3 linked regions of the Elephas maximus indicus genome follow. Each later gene encodes a partner of the first gene's protein in a complex. Links are inferred from orthologs where the notes say so. Each region holds a gene or a part of one and is shown in the gene's direction. Other genes may lie near its edges. The genes, in order: MED25, MED18 and MED8.

Evidence for each region.
Region 2: MED25 (region 1) and MED18 share a complex: the UniProt entries of both Homo sapiens proteins name them as parts of the mediator complex. The link is inferred for Elephas maximus indicus from reciprocal best matches to the Homo sapiens genes MED25 and MED18.
Region 3: MED25 (region 1) and MED8 share a complex: the UniProt entries of both Homo sapiens proteins name them as parts of the mediator complex. The link is inferred for Elephas maximus indicus from reciprocal best matches to the Homo sapiens genes MED25 and MED8.

The regions. Positions count from the first base shown.
Region 1 is NC_064829.1:100,257,690-100,261,438, forward strand, and holds the start of MED25 (mediator of RNA polymerase II transcription subunit 25), read left to right. Parts: upstream 1-1,481; 5' UTR 1,482-1,525; coding exon 1,526-1,659; intron 1,660-1,754; coding exon 1,755-1,800; intron 1,801-1,954; coding exon 1,955-2,079; intron 2,080-3,749. UniProt on the Homo sapiens protein: Component of the Mediator complex, a coactivator involved in the regulated transcription of nearly all RNA polymerase II-dependent genes.
Region 2 is NC_064821.1:68,790,943-68,794,691, forward strand, and holds the start of MED18 (mediator of RNA polymerase II transcription subunit 18), read left to right. Parts: upstream 1-902; 5' UTR 903-1,008; exon of another isoform or gene 1,009-1,286; intron 1,287-1,825; 5' UTR 1,826-1,899; coding exon 1,900-1,972; intron 1,973-3,749. UniProt on the Homo sapiens protein: Component of the Mediator complex, a coactivator involved in the regulated transcription of nearly all RNA polymerase II-dependent genes.
Region 3 is NC_064821.1:85,606,490-85,610,238, reverse strand, and holds the start of MED8 (mediator of RNA polymerase II transcription subunit 8), read left to right. Parts: upstream 1-1,464; 5' UTR 1,465-1,536; coding exon 1,537-1,542; intron 1,543-3,439; coding exon 3,440-3,558; intron 3,559-3,749. Other genes in the region: KICSTOR complex protein SZT2, read right to left, coding at 1,308-1,334. UniProt on the Homo sapiens protein: Component of the Mediator complex, a coactivator involved in the regulated transcription of nearly all RNA polymerase II-dependent genes.

The DNA.
Region 1 (3,749 bases):
ACTGTTATGTCCCTGGACTTTCCGTTAGCACTTTTGAATTAGTGGAGATGAGTTTTCATATACTTACTGGCCCGTTTTAATTTTTCTCTTTGAAAAGACTGGTCGGACTCTTCCCCGTGTTTTAAATGACAAAGTATCTCTATTTTTTTAAATTCTAATATTTTTTTTGTGCATAGTAAATTTCTGTCGATACACATGTTACAAATATTTTCCCAGTTTATGGTCTATCTTTCAATTTAGTTATGGAGTCTTTTGTGGACAAATTTATCAGTATTTAAGTTTTCTGGTTTTGCCTGCTCTCTGGGTCATCTAGTGCTGCTATAACAGAAATATCACAAGTGGATGGCTTTAACAAAGAGAAGTTTATTTTCTCACAGTCCAGTAAGCTAGAAGCCCAAATTCAGGGTGCCAGCTCCAGAGGAAAGCTTTCTTTCTCTGTTAGCTCTGGAGGAAGGTCCTTTTCATCGTCTTCCCTTGCTTTGGGAGCATCTCAGCACACGAACCTGAGGCCCTCTGCTCCCAGCACTTGTTTCTTGGTGGTACGAGGCTCCCATGTCTCTCTGCTCACTTCTCTCTTTTATATCTCAAAAAAGATTGGTTTAAGACACTACCTAATCTTGTAGACCTCATCAATATAACTGCTGCTAATCCATTTTATATTACATCATAGTGATAGGATTTACAACGCATAAGAAAAGCACATAAAATGGTGGACAATCACACAATACTGAGACTTATGGCCCAGCTAAATCGACAGGTATTTTTGGGGGACACAGTTCAGTCCATGACACCTGCCATGAAACTCTTTTCCAGTTTTCAAGATTACACAGTGTGCTTCTGTTTTACTTCGTATGTTTTCATGGTTTCATTTATTCAGATTTTTAATCCACCTGGAATGTATTTATGTCTTTGGTCAGTTTCTGGGCCCTCTCCCAGAAAACATCCATTAAGTGTTGCCTACCAACCTCTACTTGAGTTGGAATTAGTTTGGGGGGCGGGGGGTAACAGCTGCACTCCTTTCCAAGTTGACTGCAACCTTAAATGATTGCCTAGCAACCTTGTTTCCAGCGATGTGATTGGACCTTTCCCCAAACCCCCCATCCACCAGATAGAAACTTAATCTCCCTTTAGAAAACAAGTGCCGCCTAGTTGCATAGCAACCAAATCTCTTGGCCAAATCGGATTTTGACCGGAGTGGTAAACAGCGGTGCCCCGCTCAAAGATGGCGGCGAATAGCCACTTTGAATGTGTGTAGCTCTCCTCGGCCCGGCCGATAATCCAATCTCCGGCATTAGGCTCCTGAAATAATTCACTAAGCCTCTTCCGAGTCTCCCATTCTGAGGGAACAAGCAAGGAAAAAGATGGGGCAAAGGCGTCCTGGATGCCCCGCACAAACATGGCCGCGGGGGCGTCAGCAGCTGCGGGAGCCCGCCCCGCGCGGGGACGCGCGCGGCGCAGGCGCTTTTCCGGCCATTCCGCGAAGGTGGCGGCGGCTGCGGCGGCGGTGGCGGCTGCTGCTCGGGGCATGGTCCCCGGTTCCGAGGGCCCGGCCCGTGCCGGGGGCCTGGTGGCCGACGTAGTGTTTGTGATTGAAGGCACGGCAAACCTGGGGCCCTATTTCGAGGGCCTCCGCAAGCACTACCTGCTCCCGGCCATCGAGTGAGTGAGGTTTCCGCGACTGCGGCCCCGCCCTCCAACTTTAGTTTTCCTCACCTTTTTGCCTGACCCCGACCTTTCACTTCCGACCCTGACAGGTATTTTAATGGTGGTCCTCCTGCGGAGACGGACTTTGGTGGAGACGTGAGTCTCGGGACCGCGGGGTCTGAGGGAGGAGGGGGCCGGGAGACAGGGACTCCGGGCTCTGAGGGAGGAGGGGCCCGGGGACGTAAACTCCCGGGTCCGAGGGAGGAGGGGGCGGGGCCCTGATTAAATGTTTCTTCTCTTCTCCTCTCAGTATGGGGGGACCCAGTACAGCCTTGTCGTATTCAACACGGTGGACTGTGCTCCCGAGTCCTACGTACAATGTCACGCTCCTACCAGCAGCGCTTATGAGTTTGTCACCTGGCTCGATGGCATTAAGTGAGCTTCTTCCCTTCTTGGGGCAGTTTGGGGAATCCTGTGAGGAAGGGTGAATGAATGGTTGCTTGGGTGTGAGCTGCAGGAGCCATTCACTCTCACTGGGTGGCTGAAAGGACTCTGTGAGGGCGTTTGTGTGTTTTTGTCCCTAAGTCACTTCTGTGGCAGGTTCTGTATGTCATCCAGTTTGAAAGCAGGAAAAACTTAACCAGTCAGATGAGATAGGTCTGGTTGAGCTCTAGCATCTGCCTCAGACTCCATCAGTGACTGAGCTGTGCCCTTGCCTTACTGCCCGCTGTTTCCTGTCTACTCCAGGCCTCTTTTTCAGATGCGTACATTGAAGTCAAGAGGCTCTAGTGGCACAATGGTTAAGCACTCGGCTGCTAACCAAAAGGCTGGCACTTTTAACTTACTCAGTGGCTCCATGGGAGGAAGACCTGGCAATCTGCTCCCCCCAAAATTAGTGGAAAAAAAAAAAAATTACAGCTTAGAAAACCCTGTCAGGAGTTCTGCTCTGTCACATGGGGTCACTAAGAGTTAGAATTTACTGGACAGCATCTAACAACATTGAAGCCTGATAGCAGGAGGCCCAGGGCTAGGCCAAGTGGATCCTTCTGTGGTTTGGAGTGGATTTTCATAGTTCATAGTGCAAACTCTGGAGTTAGCCTGGGTTAGAATACTGTTAGACTACAAGCTAACTCTCAGACCCAGGAGTCCCTTTTCCCGCTGTGCTTGATGTAGGCCATCTGTAAAACAGAGACATTGATCATGCTTATGTTAGTTTTTGTTGTAGTACCTAGCCATTGTTGCATAATGAATCAGGGTCCCTGGGTTGTGCAAATGGTTTGGGCTCAACTACTAACCTGGATATTAGTGGTTTGAGCACACCCAGTGGCACCACGGAAGAAAGGTCTGGTGATCTGATACCATAAAGATTACAGGCAAGAAAATCCTATGGGGCAGTTCTACTCTATAATGTTTGGGGACGCCACGAGTTGAAGTTGACTCAACTGCAATAGTTTGATTTTTTATAATAAATTACCCCCGAATGTAGTGTTTTCAAACAACGAATGTTCATTACATTATTTCATGTAGTTTCTGTGAGCAAGGAACATAGGAGCAGCCAAGCTGGGAGGTTCTGGTTCAGGGTCTCTCATAAGGTTGTAGCTGAGATGTTGGCTGGGGCTGTAGTCATTTGAAGGCTGAACTGGGGCTGGAGGAACCACTTCCAAGATGGCTCCCTTACATGGCTGCTTCAGTATCTTCTCAGCACGGCAGCTGGTTTGCCCTACAGTGAGCAGTCCAACGTAGATCACGAGGGAGCCACAAGGCCTAAAAAGTGTCAGAAATCACGTACCGTCACTTCTGCCAAATTCTGTTTGGCACACGAGTCAGCCCCGTTGACTGTCTAGGAATACCCAGAATGTAGTTCATACTTCGATCGTCTAGTAAACCTCTGTATAACCTTTCAGACCCAATGAGGGCACTACACAAGGCCGTGAATACCAGGAGCGGGGATTGTCCGTGGTTATCTTGGAGCCTGGTTATCACGACTTCATAGGGTCATTTTGATAACTAAATGAATCGATGACAGATTATAGCCAAGAAAATCCGTGTGGAGCAGTTCTACTCTGTAACGTACGGTGTCACCATGAGTTGGGGTCTAACCAGAT
Region 2 (3,749 bases), on another chromosome or scaffold:
AGTGTAGTAATTTAAAGGGTGGGGTCTAAAGTCAGCTGCTTAGGTTTGTATCTCAGCCTCTCCACCCACTTGTAAGTTACAGAACATCCAGTTGCTCGAGTTTCCCCACCTGTAAAATGACAGTAATAATAATAATAATAGAATTTGGTTCATAGGGTTGCTGTCAGGATCAAATTTTAAATTTTGATATTTTGTTCATTATGGGTTTTTCTAATTTTGTAAAATATTTCATTAAAATATCATTTATCTTCATTACTTTTTGGGGGGCACCTTCTTAAATGTTGTGCTCTAGGTGAGGGCCTCCTTGTCTCACCCAACTCCCAGCTCTGCCTGCACCTTAGTGCTTCACACACAAGCGGTGTTCAATAAATATTTTTAACTTTTATCTGTTTCCCTATATTTTTAAACTTGGGTATACTTAAAGTGAACTAATATTGAGTGTATTACTCAGCTCCCTAATTGTGCAGAACATTATGCTAAACAGTATAGGGCGCCTTCTCCTTTCACCCTCAGGTACACAACAGAGGCCTCTGTTTTATAACTTTCTCCCCTTCCACTCTCCTCTTTTCCCACTAAGAAGCGCTGTTAGGAGTTCAAAGTTTAGGCATAATCTTCAGTCCTACCAGTTCCAAGAGATTTCCTATACGAAAACGTCTTCAGGTCGTCAAACTTTAAAAAAAAAAAAAAAAATTCCTGCAGGACGGACTACGACGTCAACGCTCCTGGTAGTCCCCAAGAAAACGCACCGAAGGAGGCCACCATCTTCCAAACAGTAGCACTGCATCCGCGCTTGCTCTTCTGCTTGCCGGGCCGCGAAGAGGACGATTTCGTGACTTCTCGGCACCCGTACGTGGCGGAGCGGTAGTGTCAAGGTTTACGCGACTCCCTCTGTACTGCCGGAAGTAGGGAGAGGGGGCGATAATATGGTTGCGCGCGCCAGTGGACGTTCCGGGTTTGGGTAACCTGAGGGCTGGAGTGTAATTGTCGCTAAAGTTTAAAGGCTCCGAGGTGCGCGGGTGGATATAATTCCTGGCTTTGCTAGAAGAAGCATAGTGCGCGCTGAGGTGCGTTTCTAGTGTAAGTGTGCACGTATCCTGGAAGCCGGTAAAGGAGCCTTGGTGGCGCCGTGGTTAAAGCTCTCTGCTGCTCCCGGAAAGGTCGGCAGTTGGAACACCCCAACCGCTCGGCGGGAGAAAGACGTGGCAGTCTGCAGCAGTGTGCTTCCGTAAAGATTTGCGGTCTTGGAAACCCCATGAAGCAGTTCTATTCTGTCATATAGAGTCGCTGTGAGTAGGAATACACTCCACGCAGTGGGTTTGGTTTTATTTTGTCATCTTCAAAGAATTTCACTCTTTTTTCCGTCCCGCTTTAAAAGATGATTTCAGTATTCAGAGAGGCAGAGCCTAGGTTCTAGCCTGGTCCGGGCTCCGCCACTGACTTGCTGCGTGTCTTTATAGACAGGGTCCCATAAATCGTCTTTCAGTTCTTCAGAATTTTATTGCATGCCCATCATGTCGTTTGCGCTACAAAGTCTTGGGAGTTAGATATTATGGTCCCATTTAATAAGGAAGACACTGAGTCCCAGAGTGAGGAGTTCCACGGTTTCCTCTAACTTCCAGCTAACTTTTTGGAGAGTTGAGAATTTGACACTAGAACGTTATGCTGTAACTCCATGACCAGATCTTTTTTGTATATTTCTGTATCCGTGCCTGGCCATGTAACAGTTACTCAGAAAGTTTTGAATGAATCTTTTGATGTCCAGGCCAGTGACTCAAGCCAGTCTCTCCACTTCTCTGATGTTTAAACAAGTCTAACTCTTCTCCAGGTGTATCCTGTGCCTTACCTGATTGAGGGCTCTGAGTCCACTTCTGTGGTCTTCACCTTAATCAGACAGACACCATGGAGGCACCTCCAGTCACCATGATGCCTGTCACTGGGGGCACCATTAACATGATGGAGTACCTGCTTCAAGGTAAGTAAACCAGGGAACTTGGATTACCTGTCTTCCTCTTTTTTTCTTCAGCTTCCCTGGAGATGAGGAACTTATACAAAGCTGACATACACAATTTCTGACACTCAGTAGACAACAACTATTTTTTGTCCCAATATTTTATTATGGAAAATTTAAAGCAGCATCTTAGTTACCTACTGCTGTCATCAGAAGTACCACAAGTGGTAGCTTTAAGGAACAGAAATTTATTTTCTCACAGTTCTGAAGCTAAAAGTCCAAATCAGGGTCTCAGCTGTATTGATTCCTTATTTCAACCTGCCTCTTAGTTCCTGGTGTCTGTCGGTGACCCTTGACATTCCTTTGCTTGTAGCTGGTCCTCAAATGTCATTTGTCTTCTCCCTCTGTGTATCTCTGTGTCCATTCTGATCTTTTTATAAGTTAGAAGTTATTAGGTGTAAGATCCACCCTACCCTGGTATGATTTCATTAACATAAAAAAGAAACCGCCTATTTCCAAATAGGTCATGATTATAGGGACAGGTGAACTTACCAGACTGTCTCCCGCCTCAGTGCCTGTTATGGATTGAAGTGTGTCCCCCAAAAATGTGTGTCAACTTGGCTAGGCTATGATTCCCAGTATTATGTGATTGTCCATCATTTTGTCATCTGATGTGATTTTCCTATGTGTTGTAAATCCTACCTCTCTGATGTTAATGAGGCAAGATTAGAGGCAGTTATGTTAATGAGACAGGACTCAATCTACAAGATTAGGTTGTATCTTAAGTCAGTCTCTTTTGAGATATAAAAGAGAGAAGCAAGCAGAGAGGTGTGAGGACCTCATACCACCAAGAAACAAGAGTCAGGAAAATAGCACATCCTTTGGACCTGGGGTCCCTGTGCTGAGAAGCTCCTTGACTGGAGAAGATTGATGACAAGGAGCTAGCACTCTGAATTCAGTCTTCTAGCCTCCTAGACTGTGAGAGCATAAATTTCTCGTTGTTAAAGCCATCCACTTGTGGCATTTATGTTACAGCAGTGGTAGATAACTAAGACAGTGCCTTTACTTGATGACCCATCCACCCTAGATACTTTTTTCATATCTCTTCAAATGACCATCTAATTTTCATCCTTTGGGTCTCAGCTCAGTTGTCACCCCTTTATAAAGAGGTCTTCTCTGACCATTCCACCCCCTCAGAGAGACCTTCTCTCCTCCCCACTCCACCAGTTGCTGTCTCTGCCATCTCCCTTTTATTTCCTTATATTTGTTTGTTTCCTTACTTATTTATTTTTTATTTCCTGCACTAAACTAATCTCCATGAGGGGAAGGGCCTTCAACTGCCTAACACAGTACCTGGCATGGTATTAAATATCTATATGTTCAGTGAACCAACACTTATTAAATACTTGAAATGTTTGAGGAATGAACAAACGCATGTCTGATCCTGCCCTAAATACAGGATACCAGTCCCTGCTCCCAAGGATCTTCTATCCTGTGATTACTTAGACCTGGTCACGTTCTTTTCCTACAACACTGTTGTTTCCAAAAATTTAGTCATCTGAGTCCCACTATCAATTTTTGAGGTCCCTGGTGATACAAATAGTTTGTGGTTGACTTCTAACCTAAGAATTGGCAGTTGGAATCCACCCAGCAATTCTGTAGAAGAAAGGCCTAGTGATATACTTCTGTAAGATTACAGCCGTTGAAAACACTACTGAGCACAGTTCTTCTCTGAAATACATGGGGTCACCATGAGTTGGAATTGACTCTGGCAATGGGTTATCAATTTTTGCCATAATTA
Region 3 (3,749 bases), on another chromosome or scaffold:
AAGGTCACACAGCAGCCACAGGTGGATGCTCTGCGCATATTCCTAGGTCTGATTTTCTCCAGCTGCTTCTGAAAGGCTATTTTTAGATACCCTGTCCCATTGTTCTGGGCAATGGCTTTGTTTCTATGCCCTGGCCTCTTTCTTGTTATTTGGTTTGCAGATTTGGGGGCCCCTCTGTACTAAGTCTCTAGGTTCCACACTCAACCCCATATTCCCTTCCTGATTGTATAGTCTATTTCTCTTTTACTTGCTTCTTCTCTAATCACAGTAGTCTCTTCAGTATTTCTCAAACAGGCACCCTCCGATCTCAGGGCCTTTGCTCCCTGTCTTAGGTTGAGAGGATTAACTAACGTCTTTAAAGTGCTTAGAATAGTGCCAGGCATGCCCTAAGTATTCTGTAATAACGACTACTATTTATATCATACACACCCGACACTCTTTTCATCTACGAAGCATATTCTTTTGTAATACTGGGCACTTCTTCTAGTGGTAGTATTCTTTTCATATTGCAGAGGATGTATGCTCAAGTCTTCTAAAATTCCTCTACTCCCCATCTGAGTATCACTTGAACAAGGTACTTAATGCCTCTCCTTTCTCAGCTTCCTTAACTGTAGATGAGAATGGATATTGCCACCTTCCCTGCACGTTTGAATGCCACAGCCTATATAGTTTCTTGTGTGGTCCTTAACACCTAATGGATACCTCATATACATGTTCTGGTTTAATACACGTGGTTCTCACAATACACGGTAAGTAGGTACTTAATAAAGAAAGTTACAGGATCAAAGAAGTTAAGGCTTGTCCGAGGTTGCACAGGTAGCTAAATGGCAGGGTCGATACTGGAATGAGGTCTCATTCCGAGTCAAATGTTCTTTCACGCAAACCAGAATCGCCTTTCCAAAAAGCATGAGTGCTAGAACTAAATTTATGCTTCTGATGGCATTCCAATGCTTAAAGAAATGCTGAAGTCGGCCTACTGCCATTTTGCCCACTGAAACAGCAACCGAACACCAAGATCCAGGCTTTGATAATACCACTATTAGGACAAAGAATCCTGAAAGCGCTAGAGTCGGCGAAATGGATGAAACTTCACTAAACAAAAACAAAGCGAAAAATTTCTGCTCTAGCTCCCGGGTGAAACTTCGGACCGCGGAGAGGTTAGGTTTTCAAGCCTCTGGGGCTGGGCCGGTCCCTGCCAAGGCTACACAGCCCGGCCGCTCTCAGGCCCGTTGCAGGCCTCAGCCGAGCCTGCCCGCCGGAACCACCCTCCGATCCCGAGGCCCACACTGCGGCCGCCCGCCCCTCACCTCCGGCTCCGGGCGCTCCGAAGCCATCACAGCCCTCCGGCGCAAGCTGGGGCCGGGAGGCGGTTCCACCCTTGACCTCTGACCCAGCTACCTTGGCACCCGAAAGGAACCGGAAGTGGGTGGGAGGGCCGAGTGAGAGTTTTCTGATTGGTGGAAGCGGCTATTCCAGAGCCGCTCGCTAACTTGGGAACCGGAAGTGGAAGTCATTCCCGCCACCGGTGCCACCGCAATGCAGGTGAGAATCAGCTTGGGCATGTTGACTGCCGACGAGCTTCCGGTACCCGCACGGAGAGTGAACTGGCCCAGGAGGAGTTGGGGCTGAGACGATGGGTTAGAGCCCGCGGATGACTGGGAAGGGAACGCAAGGCCGGCCGAAGAGAGGGTGCCGTTGATGAGAGATGCGGCGGGGCCCATTTGACAGGAGAGACTGTGGCTAAATCGGAAGGAAGTAGCCCTGATTTGGGTGTGGGAAGGATTAGGTTGTAATATGAGGAGCCTGAGATGCAGTCCATGGAACACTTCTCTAGCAAGTGAGCGATTGGCTTAGGCCCCCGGCCTAGGAGGCTGTTGGATGTAGAGATTTTGTGATCTTTTGGAGAGAGGCCTGAGGGGTGAAGGAATTATGTGACCACTGAGACCGAAAGCTAAACTGTTTATATCATTAGGCCGTGGGTAGAACCCATGGTTAAAGCTCGCGTCAGGCACATTAGCGAGTTTGCAAGACGGTTTTACATCATTCTTCCCGGTCTGTGGCCCATAGCTGTTAAAGGTGAAACAATAAAGTAAAACAGGAGCCCATAAATGGGGAGGAAATGCTTTCCGGACCCCAAACATTTCAAATTGTCTAGTGCTTAGACCCAGACCCAGTGCCGTCGAGTCGATTCCGACTCAGTGCATTTTTTAAATTTTCATTTATCACTTAGGTTCTTCTTTCTGCCGGTCTCTCGGTAAATGTATATAGGTCGACTGAGCTTGTGAAAGAATCACAGGGATATTGGCATAGAGATAAACAAAATAAATGCAAATTAATTCTGTGAGGAGGAGCTCAGAAACATCAAACGTCGTGGGTAGAGGAAGAGTTTGGGGAAGGGGGGAGGGCAGGAATGGTATTCAGAGAAAGCTGCACGTGTAGGTAGATTTCCCAGAGATTGTGTCATTGGCAAGAATAGCCAGGCTCACAAAGTAGGTTCGAGGACAGAGGAAGCTGGGGTACATGTGCTGCAGAGGTTCACAAAAGATAACGCACGCAGCCATTAGTTTTAGTAAAAATTTCTTAATGAGGAAGAATGTGGCACAGTGGTTAAGCACTTGGCTGCTAACCAAAATGTCAACGGTTCAAACTCACCAGCTGCTTCTTGGGAGAAAGATGTGGCAATCTGCTTCTGCAAAAAATTTACAGCCTTGGTTACCCTATGGGGCAGTTCTGTTCTGTCCTACAGGGTCACTATGAGTTGGAATCGACCTGACAGCAGTGGGCTTGGGTTTGGTTTTGGTAATACAAAGAAAGGAGCTGTGGTGGCACAACAGTTAAGTGCTCAGCTCTTAACCGAAAGGTTGGCAGTTCGTACCCACCCAGCGGCTCTGCAGAACAAATACCTGGCAATCTGCTTCTGTAAGAATTACAGCCAAGAAAATCCTATGAGGCAGTTCTTCTCTGTCACATGGGGTCACTTTGAGCCAGAATCTACTCGAGGGCACCCAACAACAACAATACAAAAAAATCAGGCCTGGAGTAGGTGGTGATGAGAGGAAGGAATCAGCTGGTTGGAGGAACTGAGGTCTGTGAACCAGTTGAAAAGTTTAGGGTTGATGCTGTCTGTAACCCAAATGCCAAGCCTGGCTCTCCTATGCCAGTGAGATCCAATGTTACCTGACAGGTATTACACACTGTCCTCCTTGGTTTTTCAACCTTCCTTTCCAGTGGTGTAGTTGTTAAGAGCTACGACTGCGAACCCAAAGGTCGGCAGTTCAAATCCACCAGGAGCTTCTTGGAAACTCTATGGGACAGTTCTACTCTGTCCTGTAGAGTTGCTGAGTCCGAGTTGACTCGACGGCAATGGTTTTTTTTGTTTGTTTCTTTGTGTGTCATATTCACATCCACCTGGGTAACCAACCTGTTCCTATTGGTGCAGAGGGAGGAGAAGCAACTTGAGGCATCATTAGATGCACTGCTGAGTCAAGCAGCTGATTTGAAGAACTCACTGGGGAGTTTCATTTATAAGCTGGAGAACGAGTATGACCGGCTGACCTGGTAAGGGTTGTGTGAACAAGCTGGGGAGGGCTCTTTGCATGGAGGGACAGGCCTTCTGGCAGGTAGGACGTCTCCAGTGATGTAACCACTTACCAGCTTGCAAACAGCTTTTGATTTGGAAAGAGCTGGGTTTCTTAACATTTAACACATAGAGTTTGGCTTTGGCCCTCAATGGCAAAAGCAGAGAAATG